Saccharomyces cerevisiae S288C: one gene and its partners. The protein of the gene in region 1 interacts with the protein of each later gene in a biochemical or structural test. Each region holds a gene or a part of one and is shown in the gene's direction. Other genes may lie near its edges.

The links. The genes of interacting proteins can lie anywhere in the genome.
Region 2: the proteins of MSB3 (region 1) and BUD6 form a complex in vitro, tested with the Saccharomyces cerevisiae proteins (one study listed by BioGRID).
Region 3: of the proteins of MSB3 (region 1) and VPS21, one has a biochemical effect on the other in vitro, tested with the Saccharomyces cerevisiae proteins (3 studies listed by BioGRID, with this or other methods).

What each region holds. Positions count from the first base shown.
Region 1 is NC_001146.8:78,929-84,138, forward strand, and holds MSB3 (Rab GTPase-activating protein MSB3), read left to right. Parts: upstream 1-1,711; coding exon 1,712-3,613; downstream 3,614-5,210. Other genes in the region: RIM21 (Rim21p), read right to left, coding at 1-1,332; pseudouridine synthase PUS4, read left to right, coding at 3,878-5,089. UniProt on the Saccharomyces cerevisiae protein: Regulates exocytosis by functioning as a GAP for SEC4. Stimulates specifically the GTPase activity of YPT6. Also required for efficient polarization of the actin patches.
Region 2 is NC_001144.5:768,462-774,298, reverse strand, and holds BUD6 (formin-mediated actin nucleation enhancer), read left to right. Parts: upstream 1-2,614; coding exon 2,615-4,981; downstream 4,982-5,837. Other genes in the region: MMS22 (Mms22p), read right to left, coding at 1-2,359; EST2 (telomerase reverse transcriptase), read right to left, coding at 5,103-5,837.
Region 3 is NC_001147.6:489,340-493,183, reverse strand, and holds VPS21 (Rab family GTPase VPS21), read left to right. Parts: upstream 1-2,355; coding exon 2,356-2,988; downstream 2,989-3,844. Other genes in the region: type 2C protein phosphatase PTC5, read left to right, coding at 343-2,061; YVC1 (Yvc1p), read right to left, coding at 3,450-3,844.

The sequences.
Region 1 (5,210 bases):
TGTAAAGTATAAAATTTTATCACGCGCATAGCCTAATTTCTTCAGCGCTACATCTTTATAAGTTCCCCTATCATTGAAATGCATTCGATCAATGCTTCTGCCCACTGATATCTGATCTTCTGGGTCGTAGCGTGATATGGTCTGTAAATCACATACTTCCGAATTACTTGACGTATCGTGCCGATCCGTTGATGCGTCCTGAGATTCCCTCCTGGTTAAAGCGTTTTGAACCCTTAAGGCGTACTTGGCAAACCGATAGTCTTGTTGCTCTTCCTCGAAGATAGGTCTTCCCAAAATGCTTTGCGCTTCCTCTTTTCTTTCCAAAACATTTAATCTATCCAGCCACTCCCATGTGATCACGGTCGAAGTGACATAGCATGTCGTGTTAAACACTTCACCCAGTTCCGATATCCATAAGTTCGACACATCGGCAAGGAAGAAACCCGGTAATAGAAGCACCACAAGAATAGTCAATAGCGTAAGTAAACCCATTTGATTGAATTTAAACCACAATTTTTTTTTCTGCCAGATGTGATAAATGACGATTGATGCATATGACGTGGCGATGGCAATACGGAAAAGGTAAACAAATGGCCGCAGAATCTGCCAGTCATTTCTGTGTTTTGTAGTATGGTTAGCAAACGGTGGAATTACCCATAAAATATTTGCGGTTATTGTTAATATCACCCCAATAAAAAAAATTATTCTCTTTTCCTGAGCTCTTTGAAATAGCCTAATGACAATGCCGACTTGGCAAAATTGGAACATTAAAGTAGCCAAGAAATCCAAGACAACAAATGTCATATCATCGGAAAAGATGTGCATAATGGAATGAGCCCGAACGACACCATAGACATTGTGCTCTTTTTCCAATCTCCGCAACACCTTCGTGATAAAAATCGTTAAGTTCAACGAGGCTAACAACGAGGCTATCCTCAGTAGTTGTAGAATTCTCTTATATGCGCGCCCGCTGATATTTATACAGCATATCACAGTCAGGAACACTGTGATGACAAAATTAGAAGTTATCGACAAAATCACAGCATAAATCGCATACTCAGCAGAACCGCCGACATAATCGCTTACTTGAATGAATTTTTGCCAGTCATTGATCACCTCATCAAGATACCTATATGGGGAAGAGTTTCTTAGCACCGTAGATACATAAACGGGCACTCTTTCACAGCAGAAACTCCTAAAAGTAATATCTTCTGCATATACTGCCGAATTGTCATAAAGAGGCAATTGTATCAGCACCCCTGAACCTAGCTTCATTGGATGACAGCTATTGTAAGCAGCCAATTCTTCTGGACTATGTCTCCACAAGTTCATGTTTGCAGAATCGACTATTCATCGAGTGTCTTCCTCCTTATGTGCTACTAAAAACGATAGTCTAAAATGACTGATTAAGTGCGCACAGGAAAGAAGAAAACAGGTAAAGGACACCGAATCTGTAGTACCAGTCTTTTGTCTTTCTTGTAACTAAACGATGTGGGTTGCTCTTCTAAAGTACTTATCTTTACTCGCCGATACAACGGGTTCCATCTTCTCTTTCAATAGCTGCTATTTTTCTGTTCGGGCAGTATCAGAATTAACAGGATCAAACCTCGTTTATGTCACGTAGAAAGAAAGTAGCTAAAAATAGCTAAAGGGACATCTAGAAGCTTTGTAGGAGTCAAAGAGTTGCGCACCCAGAACCATTGTAATTAGCATGCAGAACGATCAACAGAGGTTCTCCCTGCAAAATAGGACGGTACTGGCGCATCCATACAAAAGGCTAGGAGGGGCATTTACGGTGAAATCACCGTCTGTTCCTAACTTTCATGATAAAATGCATTCAGATCATAGTTCTAGCGACTCAGCTCTGGTGAACGGAAGCTTTAGAGCGAATGATCATCGCTCTGTGGAACCAAGTTGTTTGGGCCAAGCATCCCCCTCTGAACATGATGGGAATTTAAGCGTTATTGACCTGTATGGAGACGAAGTGGAATCCCAACGTGCCGAAGGAGAGGATGATGATGATAATAATGGCGATAATGGTAACGAAGATCTGGAGGAAGTGCACAGTGATGACCTCGATTTGGTTCCTGATGATGACAACCGTCAGCGTGTAGAATTGGAGGGTGCCGCTAGTGCCACAAGTGCGAATTCCAATGGAATCAACAATACCCATTTTGATCGATACGGTTTCAAAAAACAGAATAATTACATATCTGAAGCAGAATACGATAAGTGGTGGGTAGAATATTCGCAGTACTGCGTTCGCCGTAAGCACAAATGGCAATTGCTGTTGGAGAAAAGTGGGTTGCCAGTGACCGATGATTCTCCTTCACGATTTCCATCAAAGAGTGAACGGTTAAAAAGGTATGTCAGAAAGGGCATTCCAGCGGAATGGAGAGGAAATGCATGGTGGCATTTCGCTAGAGGGCAAGAGAAGTTAAACAAGAATAAAGGCGTCTATTCACAACTTTTACGAAAGATGAAGCAGATCAAGAAACAAAACCCTAATGAAAAACAAGTTCAAGACTTGGATATTATTGAACGTGACTTGAATAGAACATTTCCGGACAATATACATTTCCAAAGTAGCTTGCATAACAAAGAGGGACCTCCGATTATAAAATCTTTACGCCGGGTGCTTGTTGCGTTCTCTCTCTACAATCCGAAGATTGGCTATTGTCAATCTATGAACTTTCTTGCAGGCTTGCTATTGTTATTTTTAGACGAGGAAAGGGCCTTTTGGATGCTAGTGATTATTACTTCAAGATACCTACCGGGGGTGCATAATATCAATCTAGAAGGTGTTAACATCGACCAAGGGGTACTGATGCTATGTGTCAAAGAATATATTCCAGAAGTTTGGTCGTACATTAAGCCTTCCATTGACCACCACCAAAAAAATAACAAAACTTTTTCTCCGTCAAATAAAAAAGTTTTATTCAATATGCAAAAGAATGAGTTCTTGTACAGACTTCCGCCCATTACTTTGTGCACGGCGAGCTGGTTCATGAGTTGCTTTGTCGGTGTAGTGCCGATAGAGACCACGCTTAGAATATGGGATTGTCTGTTTTACGAGGAATCACATTTTCTATTCAAAGTTTCGTTGGCTGTCTTAAAATTGAGCGAGCATGACCTTTCGAAAATAAAACCTCGTAACAATTCGTTGAATTATTCTTGGGGCTCTAACTTAAACCAGAGAGGCGGATCAATGGGCCAAGAAGATAGCGATATGGAAATTTTTCAGGTCATACAGACATTCCCTAAGACATTATTGAACCCAAATGAGATCTTTGAGAAAATCATTTTCAAAAGGAGATTTAATTTAAATAGGTTAGATCAGGATGAAATAGACAGGTGTCGAAAATTTGTTGCCGCTCAGCGTCTCAAATTTAAGACATATGGTGAACTTCTTGGAAATTCAACATCAGAGGCAGATTTGCCAATTAATGATAATACAGATAATAAAGGTATCCACATAACAAGTGATGCAGTCAATGAAGCATTATCTTCAGAGGTATATGGGTTTAAAAAGAGCCTAGCTGGAGTTCATTGGAATAATAGCATCAAGGAGAAAGTGAAGCAGATGAGGAAGAAAAAAGACAAGGGTGACTAACTTTTGCTTCCTGTTTTTGTTTTTGCATAAACAAATATGTGATAATTAACTAGCATATAAAACATATACATATACACAGACTTATTTTTTTTTGAGCATCTATATTTCAGAGAATTTTGTTTGGCGTTTTTTCTCTGGTATTGATCTGGCAATTTTCCATGATATCTTCTAACAGCGAGGTGAAAAATTTGTTAAAGATGAGCTAAGCTTGTAAATTGTGTAAGTTAGGGCATCACATAAAAAGAAAACTCAATCAAGGGGAACATGAATGGAATATTTGCTATTGAGAAGCCTAGCGGTATTACATCCAATCAGTTTATGCTAAAGTTGCAACATGCTTTAACTAAAAGTCAAGTATTCTCGAAGGAAATTCAAAGGGCAACAGCGGAAAGAAAGCAGCAATATGAAAAACAGACAGGTAAGAAGGCCAGCAAGAGGAAACTTCGTAAAGTCTCAAAGGTAAAGATGGGACACGGAGGCACTTTGGATCCGTTGGCCTCTGGTGTCCTGGTAATTGGGATTGGAGCGGGCACCAAAAAACTTGCAAATTATCTTTCAGGCACCGTTAAAGTCTATGAAAGTGAAGCCCTGTTTGGTGTTTCCACTACTTCAGGAGATGTAGAAGGTGAGATTTTGTCCCAGAACTCCGTTAAACATTTAAATTTCGATGATTTAAAGACTGTGGAGGAAAAATTTGTTGGACAATTAAAGCAGACGCCGCCAATATACGCAGCTTTGAAGATGGATGGCAAACCCCTGCATGAATATGCTCGAGAAGGAAAGCCTTTACCTAGAGCCATTGAGCCCAGACAAGTTACTATTTATGACTTGAAGGTGTTTTCAGACTCTCTTAAACGTGATCATGACTATCCCTTATTGAGGCCCACTACAGAAGAAGCTGTTGATACCGTGAAAAATTTGAATGCAAACATGCTAAACGATGTTTTATACTTTTCAAAAGAATATACAGAGAAGCACGGCCTTGATTCTGAGGTGGCAAAGGTAGAAGAACCATTTCCGCTGAGTGAACAAGAAGAGCAAGAAATCCAAAAAGAAGGAGATTCTTATAGGGCTCCAAAATTGCACTTCAAAGCTAATGTGTCTTCTGGAACATACATAAGGTCCTTAGTGAGCGACATCGGTAAATCTATGAGGAGCTCATGTTATATGGTGAAATTGATACGTTTGCAACAGCAGGACTGGTCTCTTGAAAAAAATAATGTGTTCCAATTAACGGATTTTACTGAAAGAGACGAGAAGGTGTGGAGTAAGGTACTGGAGAAGGTTCTAGACGAGGGAGCAACTGTTGATGTTATAGAAGAGCTAAAGAAAGCAGAAAAGGAAATACCAGCGGACGTGAAGGAATGTATAGTTTCGAGTGATCAACCTGGTGATGAGGCTACGGCTGAAACAATTGAAACTGCTAACGCCGAAGAACATTCTAATACACTAAAAAGAAAAATCGAACAGGTGTAAAAAAGAGGAAGTTCGAACCATTTTTTTTTTTGGTCTTGTGAAGACTACGCTCTCATTTTATCTATTTTTTTATGTGTATATATGATTTAAAAAAAATCGATGTACTTATGCATTTAAATCG
Region 2 (5,837 bases), on another chromosome or scaffold:
GGCAGACTTTCGTAGGAAATATGTTGACCAGCAACAGTGAAATATGAGGCGAAAAGGGGTGCTTTTGAAATAAATCCCACAAAGCTTCCTTTTTATGTATGACATCAACGACAGCAGAGAGAATATAATAACTTGTGTACAGATATTGCATTGGATTTTTCATAACAGAATCATAACAGACAGAAAGTAATTTGAAGAAAGACACAATATGATCTAAGAGTTTGACATCCATGTCGAATTTTGCAGCGGCTGAAATTTTGTTATATCTTGATATTTCTAGAAACATTAATTGGCATGCCGCAATTTGAAAAAAATGGATTGGTTTAGCTTTTTTCCTCAAGCTATTGACCTTCGATCTAAATTCACGATGAAATTCACCTATTAAGTCGAATAGTTCAGGCATGTCAAGGTGCACCAAAAAAGCAATAAGGCTTTCGTTAAAGTGAACTAGTTCAGTATCAGTGATACCTTTATCAATGATTACTCTGAATATTTTCTGTAATGATGTAGCTATATCTGCAGGATTCAATTTTGATAGCAAGAAACTCTTGTCTGACAACTGGATCTTGAAGAAATTAGGTGGCTCAAAAGGTTTTTTTAGTAAAATTGAGTCAAGTACGACCATTATTGGTCCAAGCTCTTGATTGGAGTCTTCTTCCTCAAATTCCATGTCATGATTAATGCTGTCCCTATTACGTACATTTGGCTTTGTGAAAGCGTATCGGTTCGTGGGAACCTCTACAACAGTATTGAAAACTGGTTTTCGTCTCGATTCAAGATCAGCGGAGAAACTTGAGTATATAGGTGCTTTCTTCTTCCTTCTTTTTTTCTGTGGCTTGAGAGAAGAGCTGTCATCCTGTTCTAGGGATTGAGATTCTAATTCTTCAAAAAAATAATCATCAATTACATGATTCTTCTTAGAAACAAATGAAACTGGATTATTAGCTGCCAAATGAGATTTATGCGCTGACCGTTTTCCGACTTTGATAGCTTTTGTACTTGGGGCCAGACAAGAATTTCGATATTTGTACTTATATCTTCTCACTCTCTTACTTTTTGTATTCAAAAAGTTGGCATCATTGGTTGCTTTAATTCTTTTAGGTTTAACCAACATCTTGTCAATTATACCATCGTTATGCTCTTCAGCAGCATCTAGGGAAATTACACTTTGATTATCTTCGGCAGATATATTGTATTGCTCACTAAATCCGCTATCTGAATGCCGTGAATTCAAATAAATAATAGGCTGGTCTTTATAAGACACATGTGATATGCAGCTCCCCGGTCCGTCATATTCCAGCTCATACACTGGTTCATTGCGGTATTCCTCATTTAAATTAAAACCAGAAGTTCCAGCCGATTGTGCGTCTTCACTATACTTGCTCTCATAATATTCTTGCAATTCCTTTAATTCCTTTTCGTTAGCCTCACGATCCTCTGGAAGATTTCCTAAGTATATATCTGGAGGGGCGTTTTCCTCGATATCCAGTTCGTCATCAGGTGCAATAAGATCGTTCAATAAGTTCTGTTCTTCATCTTCAATATGGGCGCTTCTGTTCATTTTCCTCTTAGCCACACCCTTATGGTTCAATAATTGAGTTTTTCTTTTCGTGACTTTTGAAGACTGCTGCTTTTGCAACGACTTTTCCCAAGCAACTCTTGGCAGGACCCCACGGTAACCAGTTCTTACATTCAATACTCTTCCTCTAAATATTACTTCGTCATTTTGAGTATTCTGTAAATTTGTACTAGCCAAGTCTTGTTCATCTTCCGTAGAATCACCTGATTGAAATACTATATCCTGGTCGAGGTCTTTAAAAGTACGATGCCTTTTCTTTGGTATTTCTTCATCACTATCATATCTTTGAGATTGAACCGAGCTGTTTTCGGGTTTAATGGAGTCGATTGTAACATCTTTCTGCTCATCTAAGGGTTTACCAGTTCTCTTTGTAAGTAAAATATCATTTGAGTGAATCACTGTAGAAGCGTTCTTCGGTAAGGTCAACTGATTCGAAATGCTGTCAAAACTAGAGATATCATAGCCCTCTAGCAACTGCCTATGCTTTATGCGTTCTAAACTGTATGGCATCTTTTGAATAGCCTTCCTCTTCCTCAAAGACCACCGAAGCCCCGTAGTAACTTGTGTATCAGTTACTACGGAAGGAGTACAAGATTCTCCAGCAGTGGAATCCAGGCTCAACCTCTCAGTGACAATTTTCTGTGATCTGCTTGCTTCTTGGACGTTTTCCTCTGCCCATAAATAATTTTCATTGAATTCGGGTTCGTATATGATACTAATTTCCTCATCAGTGGCCTCAGAATCTGATATCACAATAGGATTCGGTTCATCAACATCCATAAGCTTATCTGCTGACGCTACCACTAAACTTCAAATCTACAATCCTATCTTTTATTCTTTCACTTCTTGAATTTAATTTTACACGCAGATGCGCTTTACTCTTTGAAGATATCTCGCTAGCCGAGCTGAACGAATTTTATCCTACTATTATGCATTCTTGAGATAATGGCATCAAAACAAACCCAAGAAAAGGGAAAAAGAGTAGAAGCTGGCTGCCAAATTGGTGTAGTAATCCTCGTATTATTTTAAAATTAGATGAAGATGGCCGTGGATGACCCTACGTATGGCACCCCAAAGATTAAAAGAACTGCTTCTAGCAGTAGTAGTATTGAAACGACAGTAACAAAGTTGCTGATGTCCACCAAGCACCTCCTCCAGGTCTTAACACAATGGTCTAAGGGGACAACCTCTGGAAGATTAGTATCTGATGCATACGTTCAGTTGGGCAATGACTTCAAAGTCGTATCGAAATTCTTCATGCATGCGAAAGTTGACATGTCAGATGTTGGTGATGTGCCAATGGCTTTAAGACGTGTATTGGAAGTGACATTGAGGGAACCACCATCTGATGAAACTTTAAATAAACATCTGCCAAAAATCAGAGAGATTATAGTGACACTTTTAGACAAACTAAAGGTTAAACAAGCAATTTTGAAGAATATGCAGCAAGAGCATCGGATAAGTGTAAAATCACATCATCAACAAAACCCTTCCTTTACTAGTAACCTTTCATTGGGTAGTGAAGGGACCCGTGAGGGGACTCCATTAAGTAGCAGAAAAAGCAGTATTGTACGTGATCAGAGGCAAAGCGATTCAGTCGAAAACAGCTATGGGGAAAAAGTGAATTCTACTTCTACGGGAACACCCTCTGCTCAGTCAGCAGAGGCAACATTGACAAAACCAAGAACTAATATTAAACAAAACCTTAAATCTAACAATGCTCCAAACGCATCTGATGATGATGATGCACTTTCACAATTGAAGAAGGGAACTAATTTACAAAGGAGAGCCTCAAAGAGATACTCTGCCTACCATATGGCTAAATTGACAAATCAGTCTACAACAGAAGCTGCTGCGGCTGCCGGCCTCATGACAACTCCTTCACCCTCGATGTTGCATCTAGAGGAAACCGTAAGAAAGTCAAAGTTATACGGAAATAACAACAATGATGATGATAGAAACATTAATTCAGCTGAAAATAAGGGTAAAAGCATTGACGATGTATCAAAGGCGAGTCCATTGGCGAAAACGCCATTGCCTATTGAGAATGTTCGTGCATCTCCACGAAGATTATCAAGCGTTGTTACAACTTCGCCAGATAAAGCCATGAATGGAACTTGTCCAGTATTTTTAAGGATAGGAGACAAAACAAAGAAGTGTCATGTGCAACTGCCTACTACAAAAAACGCATTAAGGCTCCTATTTATTGAGCGCTTTGCGTATTCTCCTGGAGCAAATTCCTTCCCAGACATATATATTATGGATCCTCAATATGGAGTATTCTATGAATTAGAGGAACTAAATCTTCTCGATATTAAAGAAGGGTTTGTTATCGAGCTAAAGCTCGAAGAGAATCCAAATAATACGATCAAGGAATTCATTGACACAGTTAAGATGGAGATATCGAATAGTCAGAATGATATAATAAGACATTTAAAAGAAATGAGTTTTGGTTCTGCAATTAGCGGCAAGCAAACGGAAGTTTTACCACAACCTGGCCTTGAAGCTAACAAACACGATCTTGTGGGGCAAAACAAAAAAGATGATGATAAAACGATCAAAGATATTCAGTACGAATTGGGGAAAATAAAACAAGTGCATAATATTAATAGGTCAAATATTAATGAGACTATTTTCAACATTTTACGAAAGGTCGATAACTTTAAGTCTTTATCATTTTCTGCCAAAAACTCTTCCAACAGAATGTACATGGAAAAATCACAGACCGAACTCGGTGATTTATCCGATACTCTGCTAAGTAAAGTAGATGATTTGCAAGATGTAATCGAAATTATGAGGAAAGACGTTGCTGAGCGTAGGTCTCAGCCCGCTAAAAAGAAGCTAGAAACCGTATCCAAGGATTTAGAAAATGCCCAAGCAGATGTACTTAAACTACAGGAGTTTATTGATACTGAAAAACCACATTGGAAAAAAACTTGGGAAGCTGAGCTCGATAAGGTCTGTGAAGAACAACAGTTTCTCACGTTGCAGGAAGAGTTGATTTTAGATTTGAAGGAAGACTTGGGTAAGGCATTAGAAACTTTCGATCTTATTAAGTTATGTTGTGAAGAACAAGAAAAAAACCCTTCGAGATCAAAAAGTAATCCTATTTTGCCTATTATGAGACCGGGCACATTTAATCAGGTAAGGGAGCAAGTTATGGTGGCCGTCCAATCTTTAAACCCTGACCACGATAGTAGGGTCGAAGCTATTGACAAGGCTGAGAAGATGTGGGAGATGGAAAGAAAACTTAAAGCTAGTAATGAATTTGATGATGAACTGGAAAATTTTGTGGGTAATTCAAACCTGAAAAAATCGGGAGGCTTTGAAGAAGTAGAAAGGATAAGAAAGCAGAAGGATGAAGCAAATTTGAGAGCATATTTTGGGCCGGGGTTTACTTAAATACACTAATTTTATGAAAGCTAACGGAAAAGAGATTAGTGCTTTTGGCTTATTACAAAGTTTGCGGCAATATTTTCCTTATCAGCATCATAAGCTGTCAGTATTTCATGTATTATTAGTACTAATTAACTATATGTATATATATATATATATATGCTTGCAAGTGTTGAATTTCCTTTCTCAAAAGAATGATATTATCTTTAAATTTTGATGTGTTTGAAGATAGGCTTTCCAAAAATCCATTCAATATGGTGAATCGTACCTCATACTCGATTAAAGGATCACATTTCGTAATTGGACAACCGCTGACTGTCATTTCAATGATGCGTTGTAAGAACGAATGAAATTGCATATTTTGCGTAACATTAATTGATAGATCCTTAAAAGCAGATTTATAACATTCCGAAATGTTCTTTACAACATGATCAATTTGCATGAGAACGGTGTTTGTTGAATTTAAATTTGTGTCAATTGTTTTATAAGAGATTCTAGTGTTAAACAGCGCTATTAAACTTCGAAATATCCCTTTACTAGATTTCGAACGGATATGGAAATTATTCATTGTGCTTGAATGTTTCCAAACTTCCAATTCTTTAACAAATATGTGCATTGCACAAAATTGAATAACCGTATCATCATCTGATTGGGAGCTTACGGCTAAAATTTTGTCTCTATTGGCTTTCGCATTATATTTTTGAAATCCGCCCATGGCAAGCTTTTTGATATTGATCACTTGCTGTTGGTCTGTTGATATTATAAGGAAATCGTCAGCCAGTTTTAAAATTAATGTGTCCTGGCTAGGACTGGCTTTAAACTCGCTATAAAACTCCAGAAGATCGTCATACACCAAATCAAC
Region 3 (3,844 bases), on another chromosome or scaffold:
GCAATCTTGTGCTGTTCAGGGTGTGATGGGCAGCATTGACTAAATTTCCTTATCCCTTGCATAGTTACATTCTTAGTTATCAGGTATTGGCGACCAATTGCATACATTTTTATTTTCTACTTTAAAACTCAGTAATGAGCAGTTACCGGCCCTTCATTATGTAGAAAAACAGGATTCACTTCTTTCTACACAAGATACAAAAAAGAAAAAAAGGATCGATTGGAGGGTAAACGAAATCGTGTGATAGGCAGGAAAAGAAACATCTATTGCTACTTTAATTGAATTTGTGCTCTACTGAAATTTTTCAACAGAAGAAGTGCTTTTACTTCTCTCAATCTCTCCATGTCTCCCTTAACTAGAACCGTAGCTATAAAGAAAACGGTTAAGGTTCTATCTAAATGTCAATCTGGTAGAGAATACACACAGAAGTTTCTCCAACGTGCATATTCAACATCACATGCCAACAGCACATACTATTCAAGGACAAAGCTATTCATATCATCACATTCTAAAGCTCTAAACATTGCTCTACTAAGCGGGTCCCTACTGTTGACCTACTCCTACTATTCCCCTAAAAAGATCCTCTCCCTTGATACAATTAACGGAATAAAAGATTATTCTACAAATACTAGTGGTAACATTAACATGCCGTCACCTAATCCAAAAGGAACAGAGACACAAAAGAGTCAACGGTCTCAGAATGACCAATCTGTTCTTATCTTGAACGATTCTAAAATAGAGGCTAAACTACATGATAGAGAGGAAAGCCATTTTGTTAACCGTGGCACTGGTATATTCAGGTATGATGTGGCACAGTTGCCCTCTAACCATCCAATAGAAGACGATCACGTAGAACAAATCATTACCATTCCGATAGAAAGTGAGGATGGCAAGTCCATAGAGAAGGATTTGTATTTTTTTGGAATTTTTGATGGACATGGTGGTCCTTTCACTTCGGAAAAATTATCTAAAGATCTAGTCCGTTATGTAGCGTATCAATTAGGTCAGGTATATGACCAGAACAAAACGGTTTTCCATTCCGACCCCAACCAATTAATCGATTCTGCAATTTCGAAAGGTTTTTTGAAACTAGATAATGATCTTGTAATCGAATCGTTCAGGAAGCTGTTTCAAGATCCAAACAACACAAATATTGCAAACACTTTACCAGCGATTTCTGGTTCTTGTGCACTATTAAGTTTATACAACTCCACTAACTCAATTTTGAAAGTGGCTGTCACTGGAGACTCAAGGGCTTTAATTTGTGGTTTGGACAACGAGGGCAATTGGACGGTAAAGTCGCTATCCACCGACCAGACCGGTGATAATTTGGATGAAGTACGGAGAATTAGGAAAGAACATCCAGGAGAACCAAACGTTATAAGAAACGGAAGAATATTGGGTTCATTACAACCATCCAGGGCATTTGGAGACTATCGCTACAAGATCAAAGAAGTCGATGGAAAACCATTATCGGATTTGCCTGAAGTTGCCAAACTTTATTTTAGAAGAGAGCCAAGGGATTTCAAGACACCCCCATATGTCACTGCGGAACCAGTGATTACTTCTGCCAAAATTGGTGAGAACACTAAATTTATGGTGATGGGTTCGGATGGTTTATTCGAATTACTAACTAATGAAGAAATTGCTTCCTTGGTTATCAGGTGGATGGATAAAAATATGAATCTGGCACCTGTGAAGGCAGAACCGGGGAAATTACCAAAAGTTATCGATGTATCTGAAGACAAGGAAGCACAAAGACCGGCATTCAGGTACAAGGATAATAATTCGAGCTCACCATCAGGATCAAACCCAGAGTATCTTATTGAAGACAAAAACGTCGCCACTCATTTAATTAGAAATGCATTAAGTGCGGGCGGAAGAAAAGAATATGTATCGGCATTGGTAAGTATACCATCGCCGATGAGTAGAAGATACAGAGATGACTTGACAGTAACAGTGGCGTTCTTTGGTGATTCTGGAACACCCTCAATTGTCTCCAATGCTACTTCAATAGTTATGAACCCGGAGGCAACAACAAAGCCAAAACCTAGATTATGACGATATAAACTTATGCTGAGGTAGGTATATACCAGAGGATTTATTTTATAGATATTAGTCTGCTGATTATCTAGTTTCTTGTCACCTCATACGTGTTTTTTTTTTTTTTGGTTTTCTCGGTTTGCATTATGGGGCTTTTTGCTAAAACAATATCCCCGAAAAGACAAAGAAAGAGAAGTGAGGTGAAAATACGAGCAGCTTATCTTATAAAAGTGGCAACGATTTTAAAAATAAAAAGCAAGATCGTCGACTTATCTAAGCTATAAAAAAATATCCCTTTTATCACACAAAAAAATGAACACATCAGTCACTTCCATAAAGTTGGTACTGTTGGGTGAGGCAGCAGTTGGTAAATCGTCAATAGTCCTAAGGTTTGTATCTAATGATTTTGCCGAAAATAAGGAGCCCACCATTGGTGCAGCATTCCTCACTCAAAGAGTTACTATAAATGAACATACTGTTAAGTTTGAAATATGGGACACTGCTGGGCAAGAGAGATTTGCATCTTTAGCACCTATGTACTATAGAAACGCACAAGCTGCTCTTGTAGTATACGACGTTACAAAACCACAATCCTTTATTAAAGCGCGCCACTGGGTTAAGGAATTACATGAACAGGCATCAAAGGATATCATCATTGCGTTAGTTGGTAACAAGATCGATATGCTGCAAGAAGGTGGGGAAAGAAAAGTCGCAAGGGAAGAAGGTGAAAAGCTAGCGGAAGAAAAGGGCTTGTTGTTCTTTGAAACAAGTGCAAAGACAGGAGAGAATGTTAACGATGTATTTTTGGGAATCGGTGAAAAGATACCACTGAAGACGGCTGAAGAGCAAAATAGTGCAAGTAACGAACGTGAGTCGAACAATCAAAGAGTGGATTTGAACGCTGCTAATGATGGGACCAGCGCAAACAGTGCTTGCAGTTGTTAGAGAGGGGAAAATAAATATATATAAAAAAAAAGTCTGGGCAAATTGAGATAAATAGATCTTCAAAACGGGAAAGATGAAAGTCATAATTTATCGTACCTAGAAAGGAGAGGGAGTTTTCATTTTTTACCGTAATCGTTGTTTTTCTTTTCTTCTTATAATTTGTAAATTTTTTAACTGCATTAGATCATTATATTATCTTTCAAAACGCCAGTCGTTTTTATTAGACCTTTATATACGTTTCAAAGTGGTTTGTACACGTTAGTTTAGTTAAACTTTTGTTTTCATGTAGACCAAAATATAAACTTATTTTATGCCGAAAATCGGGAGATGGATTAGTTAATATTGTAAATAATGATAAATTAAAGGAACATTAAATTTACAAAGTTGCAATGAGGAGCAATATATATATATATATATGGATTTCTGAGAAATTAATTAAGCAGTATTTGAACACATGTCGTTTACTCTTTCTTATCCTTTATGTCTAATTTTTCGAGTAGATCGGTAATTACAGCTGTCAAGTTTTCCACTTTCTTAGTGAGCTCTTTGACTTCATCTTTATCTTCACCAGCATCATCTTCAGTGTCATCGTTATCATACTGTTCGAAGGAGGGACTGCATTTTTTAACGTTTTTATACCACTTCTTAGGGACTTTAAAATGGACATCTTCCTGCTCTGCTGTTCTTTGCAGTTTTAGCGAACGGGAATTCTTTAACTGGGTGGCTCTCATGCCAGAATTTCGGTTATCAGAAAACAAACCGTCATCATCATCCAAGTAGCCATCTGTCAAATCCCATGGAGTATCATATTCATTGGCATCATCGTTTAACCTTTTCATCCTGTTATATTTTATCC